Kluyveromyces lactis: one gene and its partners. The protein of the gene in region 3 binds, or shares a complex with, the protein of the main gene of each other region. Links are inferred from orthologs where the notes say so. Each region holds a gene or a part of one and is shown on either strand. Other genes may lie near its edges. The genes, in order: CLP1, RNA15 and PCF11.

Evidence for each region.
Region 1: the proteins of PCF11 (region 3) and CLP1 are in contact, whole or in part, in a crystal structure (PDB 4C0B), measured with the Saccharomyces cerevisiae proteins. The link is inferred for Kluyveromyces lactis from reciprocal best matches to the Saccharomyces cerevisiae genes PCF11 and CLP1. Residues at the interface, in NP_010514.3 of Saccharomyces cerevisiae: Asn460, Thr461, Gly462, Ile463, Ser464, Asn465, Ser466, Asn467, Leu468, Asn469, Ile477, Gln478, Ser479, Arg480, Asn481, Trp482, Tyr483, Leu484, Ser485, Asp486, Trp489, Ala490, Ala491, Phe492, Lys493, Asp494, Asp495, Ile497, Thr498, Thr500; in NP_014893.1 of Saccharomyces cerevisiae: Gln154, Leu156, Phe167, Thr168, Ala175, Pro177, Ser179, Gln191, Ser192, Leu193, Thr194, Ser195, Gly196, Ala197, Thr198, His201, Asn202, Gln204, Pro205, Met206, Val207, Lys208, Val232, Val233, Gln235, Arg236, Leu239, Asp240, Gln242, Arg330.
Region 2: PCF11 (region 3) and RNA15 share a complex: the UniProt entries of both Saccharomyces cerevisiae proteins name them as parts of the CFIA complex. The link is inferred for Kluyveromyces lactis from reciprocal best matches to the Saccharomyces cerevisiae genes PCF11 and RNA15.

The regions. Positions count from the first base shown.
Region 1 is NC_006039.1:860,067-863,497, forward strand, and holds CLP1 (cleavage polyadenylation factor subunit CLP1), read left to right. Parts: upstream 1-1,558; coding exon 1,559-2,872; downstream 2,873-3,431. Other genes in the region: TUM1 (thiosulfate sulfurtransferase), read left to right, coding at 347-1,246; APC5 (anaphase promoting complex subunit 5), read left to right, coding at 3,035-3,431. UniProt on the Saccharomyces cerevisiae protein: Component of the cleavage factor IA (CF IA) complex, which is involved in the endonucleolytic cleavage during polyadenylation-dependent pre-mRNA 3'-end formation. Associates with HRB1/CF IB to form the cleavage factor I (CF I) complex.
Region 2 is NC_006042.1:864,386-867,094, forward strand, and holds RNA15 (Rna15p), read left to right. Parts: upstream 1-1,324; coding exon 1,325-2,101; downstream 2,102-2,709. Other genes in the region: transcription elongation factor DST1, read right to left, coding at 40-918. UniProt on the Saccharomyces cerevisiae protein: RNA-binding component of the cleavage factor IA (CFIA) complex, which is involved in the endonucleolytic cleavage during polyadenylation-dependent pre-mRNA 3'-end formation and cooperates with the cleavage factor NAB4/CFIB and the cleavage and polyadenylation factor (CPF) complex.
Region 3 is NC_006042.1:1,243,758-1,247,347, forward strand, and holds PCF11 (Pcf11p), read right to left. Parts: upstream 2,423-3,590; coding exon 659-2,422; downstream 1-658. Other genes in the region: KLLA0_F13420g (chromatin-silencing protein SIR4), read left to right, coding at 1-388; GGC1 (Ggc1p), read left to right, coding at 2,889-3,590. UniProt on the Saccharomyces cerevisiae protein: Component of the cleavage factor IA (CFIA) complex, which is involved in the endonucleolytic cleavage during polyadenylation-dependent pre-mRNA 3'-end formation and cooperates with cleavage factor NAB4/CFIB and the cleavage and polyadenylation factor (CPF) complex.

The DNA of each region.
Region 1 (3,431 bases), on a different chromosome or scaffold from region 3:
GTTAACATCATATTTTGCCAAGCAGCCCATCTCATTGCATCTCATCGCCTGAAATCAACGCTCCAAATTCCTTTTGAAATTATATCTTCAACTAGATCAGTAGATTTTAAGAGTCACGTGAACTGTAAACATCAGTTCGCGTGGTAGTCTTTCCACTATCGTGTCAAAATTAGATCTTTGACCACAGCAAAAGTAAGGATAGGAAAGGGGAAGGAACTCACAGTTACGACGTAGAAGGAAATCAGAATTTTGCACGTTGTAGTCGCATTATTTGGCTTGCTAAATTTGATTGTTATTGCTCTACCCAATTGCGTTTCCCAGATCATTGAATTGTTTTTAAAACATCATGACACTTTACAAATTATTAACACCTAAAGCATTCGCAGAATTATTATCCAAGGAAACTAAGCGCCGTATTATCCCAGTAGATTCCACCTGGTATTTACCAAACTTGAACAGAAGTGGGAAGCAAGAATTTTTAGATGAAGAACGTCTAAAAGGAGCTGTTTATTTTGATATTGATGGTGTCAAAGACATGAAATCTGAATATCCTCATATGTTACCAGATCTCAGTACTTTCAATAAATCCATGAGTGAATTGGGACTGAAGAAGGATGATATTTTAGTGGTTTATGATAGAATTGGTAACTTTAGCGCACCTAGATGTGCATGGACATTAGCTGTTTTGGGACATGATCCCGTATATCTCTTGAACAATTTCCCTGCCCTGAAACTGTCTGGGTACCCCGTTGAGACTTCTAAAGTGACAAGTTTTACTCCATATGAAATGAGTGAATACGTGTCCGATGTTGATTTGGCAGAGAAAGAAACAGTTTCCTTTGAAGATATGCAGAAATTGGTGTCGACAGGTGATATTAAGAACTACCAGGTTTTGGACGCTAGAAGTCTTCAAAGATTTACTGGTGAGGCGCCAGAACCTAGACCGGGCCTCAGCTCTGGTCACATTCCTGGCGTTCAGCCATTGCCCTTCCTAGAGGTCTTGAACAGTGATAAAACTTTTACTTCAGATCGTGAGGAAATGCTAAAGAAAATACAAGACTTCGTCTCGCAAACCGGCAATGAGTTTGAAACCGATAAACCAACCATTGCAATGTGTGGTACTGGTGTCACAGGTGTCATAATCAAGACTGCATTAGAGATTTCAGGTGTCAAGAATGTCAGACTCTACGACGGGTCTTGGACCGAATGGGTGATGAAAGATGGAGAAGTGGCTAAAGGAAGTTAAGAGAAATACTTCGATAGAATGAGTGATTTCCCATACACTGAATGTAGGGAAGATGTGAAACATGCAGTACTACCTGAAAGAACAGTAGCTCTGCATCCCTGACACTTGAAAAGAACCCTGCGCAAATCAATAATTGCCCACAATTGGTTTATACTATATTTTCAGTATGTATGCTAGGAAAAATCTGTAATGATATATTGATCAAAATTAAAGTGTTTAAGTGTTAGAAAAGGTTTAATTAACATAGAACAAAAGGTAGATGAGCTGATAGCCCGACCATTACCACTCGCAGGAGAAGCTAGAAAAAAGGAAATGGAGTTTGTAGAATTCAGCGAGGTTTCTGAGACCACTAAGACATCGTCTCTTCCGCAGGGCCATGAATGGACCGTTCAAGTTCCAGCAGGATCAAAGCTAACAGTTATTGTGAAGTATGGGATCGCTGAGATACTGGGAACAGAGCTTGCCAACGATGTGCCCTACACATTCCAAGGTGTAATAGTGAACATCTATGCTATTGAACGATCTATGATCGAATGGAAGTGTTTAGAAGAGCTTGAGCCAAAAGTTTCGGAAAATAAGTCATATCATGCCTACATATACAATCTAAATTTTGCATTAGAAAGATTACGACTCTCTAGTTTCAATGGACCTAGAGTACTAATAGTAGGTAACGCCTCAACTGGAAAATCATCGCTAGCTCAAATGCTATGCTCATACGCGTTGAAGATTAGACATTATCAACCGTTGTTAGTGAACTTGAACCCACAAGATGGTGTTTTTTCTTTGCCAGGTTCAATTACAGCGACACCCATTTCTGAGTTGCTAGATGTTGAAAGTTCTATATGGGGTCAGAGTATTACTACAGGTGCTACCAAGCTCCATAACAAGCAACCTCTTGTTAAAAATTACGGCTTGGAAAATATCAGAGATAATAGACCACTATATTTATCGACGATTACACAACTAGCATCGGGCGTGCAACAGAGATTAAAGAACGATCCAATAGTAAGAAGGTCTGGCGTAATAATTGATACCCCTAAACTTTCACATCTTGACACCGAAGATTGGTCCGAAGTTGGCCACATGATAGAACAATTCGATATTAACGCAATAGTGGTATGTGCAGAAAGTGATGACTTAGCTATCGAATTGAGTGAAGTATTCAGGACTAAAATAGGATCAATTGTAAGAATTCCGCCACCAGGTTCAATTATCGCAATTGATGATATCATGAGAAGAGCTTTACAGAGGGTTCAAATAAGAGAGTACTTTTATGGTACCACAGAAACAGTCCTAAGTCCATACACTATGGGTGCTGGGTTTGAAGAATTAACAGTTTTCAGGCCAAGAAATATCTCTGAATATGGAGAGGATAAAAAGGATGTTGATCTAACAGTATTTGACAAAATTGAAGTCAACAGCTCAAACTTACAGCACGCTATTATCGCTATCACTAATATATCTAGAAAAGAAAGCCAAGATAAACTTAACACTGCATCGATAATCGGGTACGGTTTGATCACAGAAGTGAATGATTCAAAGAAAAAACTCAGGGTATTACTTCCAGTACCGAGTAGAATACCAGATAGAGCTATGATTCTCACCGAGTACAGATACTTGGAATGATTCTTACTTATAATTCTTTCATAGTCATTGTTTACATATTTATGAAAAATGTCAACAAAATCGGATACTTTATTTAATGATAGGATATACACAAATGCGAATAAGATACACCGAAAAGGAAACTAATATATAGAAGCATTAAGATTGCTGCTGAGGTTCATTATGACCGTCGAATTCCAAAAAATTAGGGTAGTAACTGGCTATGATCCGTATGATCTCAGCTGTGTGGCGTTACTCGTATTATATTGCCTAGGGGAAATAAACTTGTCCCTCCATAACATCACACGAATATTACAAATAGTTCCAAATGATGAACTGGATAGCGTTGGGCTTCCAACATTAGAGAATCTAGTTTTATATCTCCGAAAGAACGAGGATAGTCAAACTAAGGCTTCCTTTAAGTTGATCAATCTCATATTTTCTATCTCCAGTTTTAACCACATTCAAGAATTGATTCATCATTTAAGAGATGCAATAATAGTTTCTCCAGATCAACAAGGAGTCCTTTCGAAATTCAGGAGAATTTTATGTCGTTCAAGTGTGATTTGCGAACTTCTAC
Region 2 (2,709 bases), about 380 kb from region 3:
CCAAGGCTATCTTCGTAAAATTCAAAGTGAGAATTTCAACTACGAGAACTTCCATCTATTACCGCAATTCTCACATGTACAAAAAGTAGTAAGAGGTTCATCCGCAGATCTTGTTTGTAGTTGGTAGTATGATACTTTTCTTTGTTTACATTTGCCACATTGGAATCTATCTGTTACTGATCTTTCTACAGTTGCACCTTGTGCATTAAACAAATTCTGTTTCTCAATTTCCTCAATTTTCTTCTTTAAATGTTCCGGTGCCAAGTCCTTAGGATCAGCAGTCACTAAATGTTTGGCTGATACTTCTCCATTCGTAATTCTATGTTTCAAATCTGGATTGTTCTTGGAGATTATATTTGAGTAAATTATTCTGTATTTGTCACGATATCCCTTTTCGTCAGACTCGGGATTGAACAGATTAGCCATTTCTGTCTCAATACTCATTACTGTATCTAGGATAGCTACTGGAGGATGTTCACTTTCTTTTGCCAATGCATCATATAATGCCCTAATAGCCATATCTCTAATCTTGACACCATATATATCCGTTTTCACACCGTCGTTCTTAGCATTTCTTGGAGCTTTGCTGACATATTTCTCCTTCTTTACTGCTTCTCCACCGCTTGTACCATTATTGTTACTTGTAGATGAGGAATTGCTGCTTAGTTTGCTTTTCTTTTCACGAGCCACAGCATCTTTCCAGGATAAAATCATCTTCTTCACCAATTTGACGATGTCTGGATTGGAAGATTTCTTAAATTGGTTGACTACGACCCCTACTTTCGTCTCTCTAAGAAGCTTCTCATTAACATCTTTCAAATCTTTATCTAATGACTGTAGAATCTTGAACACAACATCATTATTATTTTTGTTCTTCTCTAATCCTTTGACGGCTTCTAAAACGTCCTTGGTTTCCATATCCGCAGAAGATATCTCAGTTTCTATCTATATTCCAGGATCAATTTCTTTCGAAGATGAAGAATGAATGTTAATAATACACAGCAAATATTGCTCTCAACAGATTCTAATGAGTTAGGACCTGCTGAAATCCACCATTTGGACAATGGACAGTGTTGATTGTTTGAAGTCATTAATTAGTTTTCAATTCTAATTTCATTTCATTCGAACATTGAAAAAAAAATTAGAATTGAAGTTGATGACGAAAGTTGAAGAATCGAACAATAAAGCCATATCTGAGTTTTATTACACTTATAAAGTACCGCTAAGAGCATCGAAGGACTTGTAAGACAGACTTCCACCAGACAGCTAGCTGTGAAAATAACCTGGTGCAACCAATTTCAATCATAGAAATAGTTAAAAAGCAATGAACAGGGGAAATCCATCGCGCACAGTTTATTTAGGTTCGATACCGTATGACCAAACAGAACAACAAATATTAGACCTATGTCAGACGATAGGACCAGTAACGGCAATGAAGATGATGTTTGACCCAACGACGGGTAAATCTAAGGGTTATGCTTTTATTGAATTCAAAGATTTGGCAACTTCGGCAAGTGCAGTTAGAAACTTGAACGGGTATACATTGGGTTCAAGATCGTTAAAGTGCGGATACACCACCGGTAGTGGCATAAACGGCAGCGGATCTGGCCCCGGAGATGAAGAGGAGAATGGAAACATGGTTGAGGATGTGAAGTTCCCATGGCTCCCGGTAGGGGTGGACGTTAACATCAATATGACTACACCAGCAATGTGTATCAGTAGTGAATTGGGGAAGCTACAAAAGGACCAACAGATGGCTCTACTAAAAGTAATCCAACATTTCTGTAAAGACGACAAGGAAACTTTCGTAGCACTCCTAGAAGAGGCACCTCAATTGAGCTATGCTATTGCGGAACTCCTGTTGAGTAACGGTGTGTGCAGTGTGGACCAATTGACACAATTGGCTATGGCGAGTAAACAAAGGCCAGAGGAACAGACTGATAACACAGTGGAAGACGGATTAGACGAAGAGAAAGTGGATCTTCTAAGGCAAGTTCTACAGCTACAGGATTCAGATATAGCAATGCTTCCGCAAGACGAAAAGATGGCAGTTTGGGAACTCAAACAGAGGGCAATGAAAGGTGAATTCGGTCATCTTTAATAGATCGTCTCATGGATGGAAAATCAAAAATAATGAACATGCGTCAACTATAAAGTTCATTAATGCTTATAGATGAAACGGTGTAGAATGTACAAATTGAATACGCACTTTCGGATGAAGTAAAGTTCAGTCTCTAAAATATACCTTCAATGAGCCAGAATGCGCTTGACGGTAAGACAGAAGTAGCAGTATAATTTTATGGAAATAATGAAGAGAAGGGTTAATAACCAAGCTTACTCCACGTATGCAGTATCTATTCAAATTAATTAACTCTGTAAAGTCACGTGTATCAGCTCCAAGAAAATGAAATTAACTAGCGTCTACCCTATTAACATTTGTGAAAACTTCAACCCAGAATGAGCTGAAAGACACTAAGGTGGAGGCTTTAACGGATAAGAAGAGTACTCATGTGTGGAAAGCAATAATCCGAGTCAAGTATAGCACAATTTTTTCAAGTTAATCGTCAATGATATCCATCTGATGATGATGCTGCTGCTGTAAAATGACAACTGCCGCAAACATCGTTTCTCTGCCACCAAGTTTGTGACAAATGAATAAGCTTTCTCAGCCTTGCTTCATATGTAGCAAGGCTAAAGGAAATACAACCG
Region 3 (3,590 bases):
GCGCAGAATCAAAACGCTAACAAAACTTGAAACGAATGTAGGCCCTTTGAGTGTATTTTGTGAAAAAGAAAAGTTATCAATACGTGATGTAGTGGACCGTCTTCACTGGATTAAGAGATTAGAGTCAACTATTGCAAAGATGGCTAATGAAAAAGCGGACATGACAGCTAAAGTCAAGGATCTTGAAACAGCGTTGAGTCAGTCTAAAGAAAAAGTGGACCGTTACGAAGAATATTCGTCAAAATCCCAGAAAGTCGATAAACCTCGGCCTAACGGGGAGGATCCCGTCGCACTCAAAGAAACCATCGTTCGGTTACTGAAGGAACGCAAGAAACTTACCGCTATTTTGAAGAACCAAGCTGAGTCGAAGGAACGTGATCCGAATTAAAGCGTGTCGAGATAAAGAATTCCCGTAAGAAGAAAAACAAAATCCAAAGCACTTCTATGCAATAGATAGCCGTAATGAAATAGCATATGTTTTCTATAATGCAGTTGTAACATTTAGGAAGTATATATATATATAAATACCATATAGCACTATATTATATTCGTACTTCCATTTAGAACGAAATTTGTAGAAGAAAATGGTACGAAATTCATGCCGATAAGCCAACTAGAGTTCGAATATACAATTGATCAGCACTAGCTATTCATCAACTCATTGAAGCAGCTCGTTAAAAATACCAAGATCTAATTGAAGATTTTGGAATGATGGAGATGAGGAGGTGTTTGACTGTTGACTTTTAGCTGCCTCATAATAACAAGTGGCATGGAAGAATTTGTCTCCCACCTGTACGCAGTTGCTCCAAATCCATTCTCCCAGATCTTCATCATATTTACCATATGTGGATTCGGTACAAATAGGACACTGGAACTTCATATCTGTGGCATAATCCGGTACTACAATATATTTATTCCTGAGTTTAGTATAGATTGCATCAGTAGAATCTTCCCTGTTGTTCGCAAATGTAGGTTGCTGTTCAGCAGCTCCAGTATCAATATCTGTTGCAATGATGTCTTCTTCTTTAAAGTCTGCCCATTGATTTTCATCCAAATACCAATTCCTGGATTGAATGACCTTGGTAGATGTAGTGGTGTTGGACTGGATACCTTTAATCTTCTTGTTGACACGGAAATGCCAATCAAGATGTTGTATTTCCAACTCCTTTTCTTCAAGAGTATTACCAAATCTCTTACCACATATACTACATTTATTAGGTTTTGCCCGATATAAGAAATGTACCAACTTTTCCGTAATTGGATGGTTATCATTAAGAACAAACTGTTGAGAAAGCTGAAGGACAGATGCGTTCAAAATATCTAGGTTTTGCGTCTGGCGTTGCGCCTCTAGATCACCTAGAATATCCTGTAAAAGTGAATATGACGGTAGTTGCACTGTCTTGGAGGAATCAAATTCAGGTTCTAATTTGGCAGCTAAGGTAGTAATAGATGCTTCTCCAGGTTCATGCAAGAGCTCTTTTTCTCTCAACATGTTAACCAAACTAGAAAGCTTATTGAGACGGTTAGAGTTGGTCAGTTGGTTCAAAAATGGAGCATTAAATTGAAGGCTTCCTCCGAACATCGAGCCGTTGTTACCGTTCGCCTGGAGTGAGCCACGAGACATATCATTGTTTACAGAACCTTGAGATGATGGCGGCAGAAACTGAGAGTTATTTTGTAATGGCAACTGCTGCTGCTGCTGTTGTTGTTGTTGCTGTTGATGTTCTTGCGCAAAAATCTGTTTGAGCTGCTGATGAACTTGCGACAAAAACTCCGGTGCCAACCGTTCCTTCTGCAACTCTTGTCTCAACTGCTTCAATATCGCTACTTTTGCCTGCAACTTGGCGTCATCCGGTGTACTTACTAGCTTCGACTGCGTAATCAGCGCTAATTTATCAATATCCGACAGTAACGATTTCACAGTAATATTCGACCCAGCCGGTCCGTTGTGAGCGGTATGTTGTTGTATCGCCGGCGGAGTAGCACTTTTCTGATGCAACGCACTAGCCTTAATCAAAAAATTCTCGATGCTGTTCAAAGAACTATGATCGAACATCAAGTCTCCTGCAGGCAATGGCACCATCCACGTTTTGAACATTGAAATCATCTTGGTTCTAGTCTGATTATCCACAAGTAAATAAGTTTTACGGAACAATTTATGCAAATTCTTAGAGAAATAGATCGTATACGGAGAACCAGCGTTCTTACAGATAGAATCCATTACATAGAAAGTGAAAAGCTTCTGACTAGGAACACATTTCTCCAGTCTATTTTCAATCAAACCCACAAACTCTTGTGCTAAACTCATATGTTCCTCTGCTAACTGCGTCAAGGTAGTAATTATAGGCCGAGAGTTAAACGTAAGACCATCCAAAGTGGTCTTAAACTCCTCTAACGCATTAGAACCATCTTCAGAACTCATAGAGAAATCCCAACAAAACTCGGAAAAAAGTGTACCAAAATATAGCAAACAATTACTATTACCACAAACTAAGCCTCTGGATACTAGTAAGCGCTCAAATAATGAATCATACGGCCTCTATTCCTTGCCTCTGCTCATCGTCTTTAAAGGTTTCCTTATCCTAATCCTGCATCTTGTAACGTTTTGCTCGGTTGAAAGAAAAACCGAAAACATCACCAGATCCGGGTAACGAAACCACACTTTTTTCTTTTAAAAAAAACCTTTCGAGATATCGATCAAAGATTCTTTCAAGAATGAATCATCACTGTTTTTATCTATCTTGCCTTTACGTGCATCTGGCTCCTTTCTTTCTCGTGCGAAACTTTCAACAACGTTTATTAAGAGTAGAAGCAGGAATCTCACTAGGTGAAAAGGGTCTTTCTTTTAATTTCTTATCCATTTGAACTAAGAAGAGCTGGAAAAAAAGATGACTACCAACGATAAGAAACAATCGGGTTTGGCCCGTGTCTTAGGTTCAGCTTCTGCTGGTATCTTGGAAATTGGTGTTTTCCATCCTGTGGACACTATTTCCAAGAGATTGATGTCAAACCATACCAAGATTGCCTCGACCTCTCAATTGAACAGTGTTATTTTCCGTGACTTTGCATCTGAACCATTGGGTAGACGTTTGTTGTCTTTGTTCCCTGGTTTGGGGTACGCTGCTGCCTATAAGATCTTGCAACGTGTTTACAAGTACGGTGGTCAACCATTTGCCAATGAGTTTTTGAACAAGAACTTCAAGGGTGATTTCGATCAAGCTTTTGGTGAAAAGACCGGTAAAGCCTTGAGATCTGCTACTGCCGGTTCTTTGATCGGTATCGGTGAAATTGTGCTATTGCCATTGGATGTCTTGAAGATCAAGAGACAAACTAACCCAGAGTCTTTCAAGGGTAGAGGTTTCCTAAAGATCATCAAGGATGAAGGGTTTGGTTTGTACCGTGGTTGGGGTTGGACCGCTGCCAGAAACGCTCCAGGTTCTTTCGCTTTATTCGGTGGTAACGCCTTCGCCAAGGAATATATCTTGGGTTTGAAGGATTACGGTCAAGCTACTTGGAGTCAGAACTTCGTCTCTTCGATTGTTGGTGCTTCTGCTTCATTAATTGTCAGTGCACCATTGGATGTTATCAAG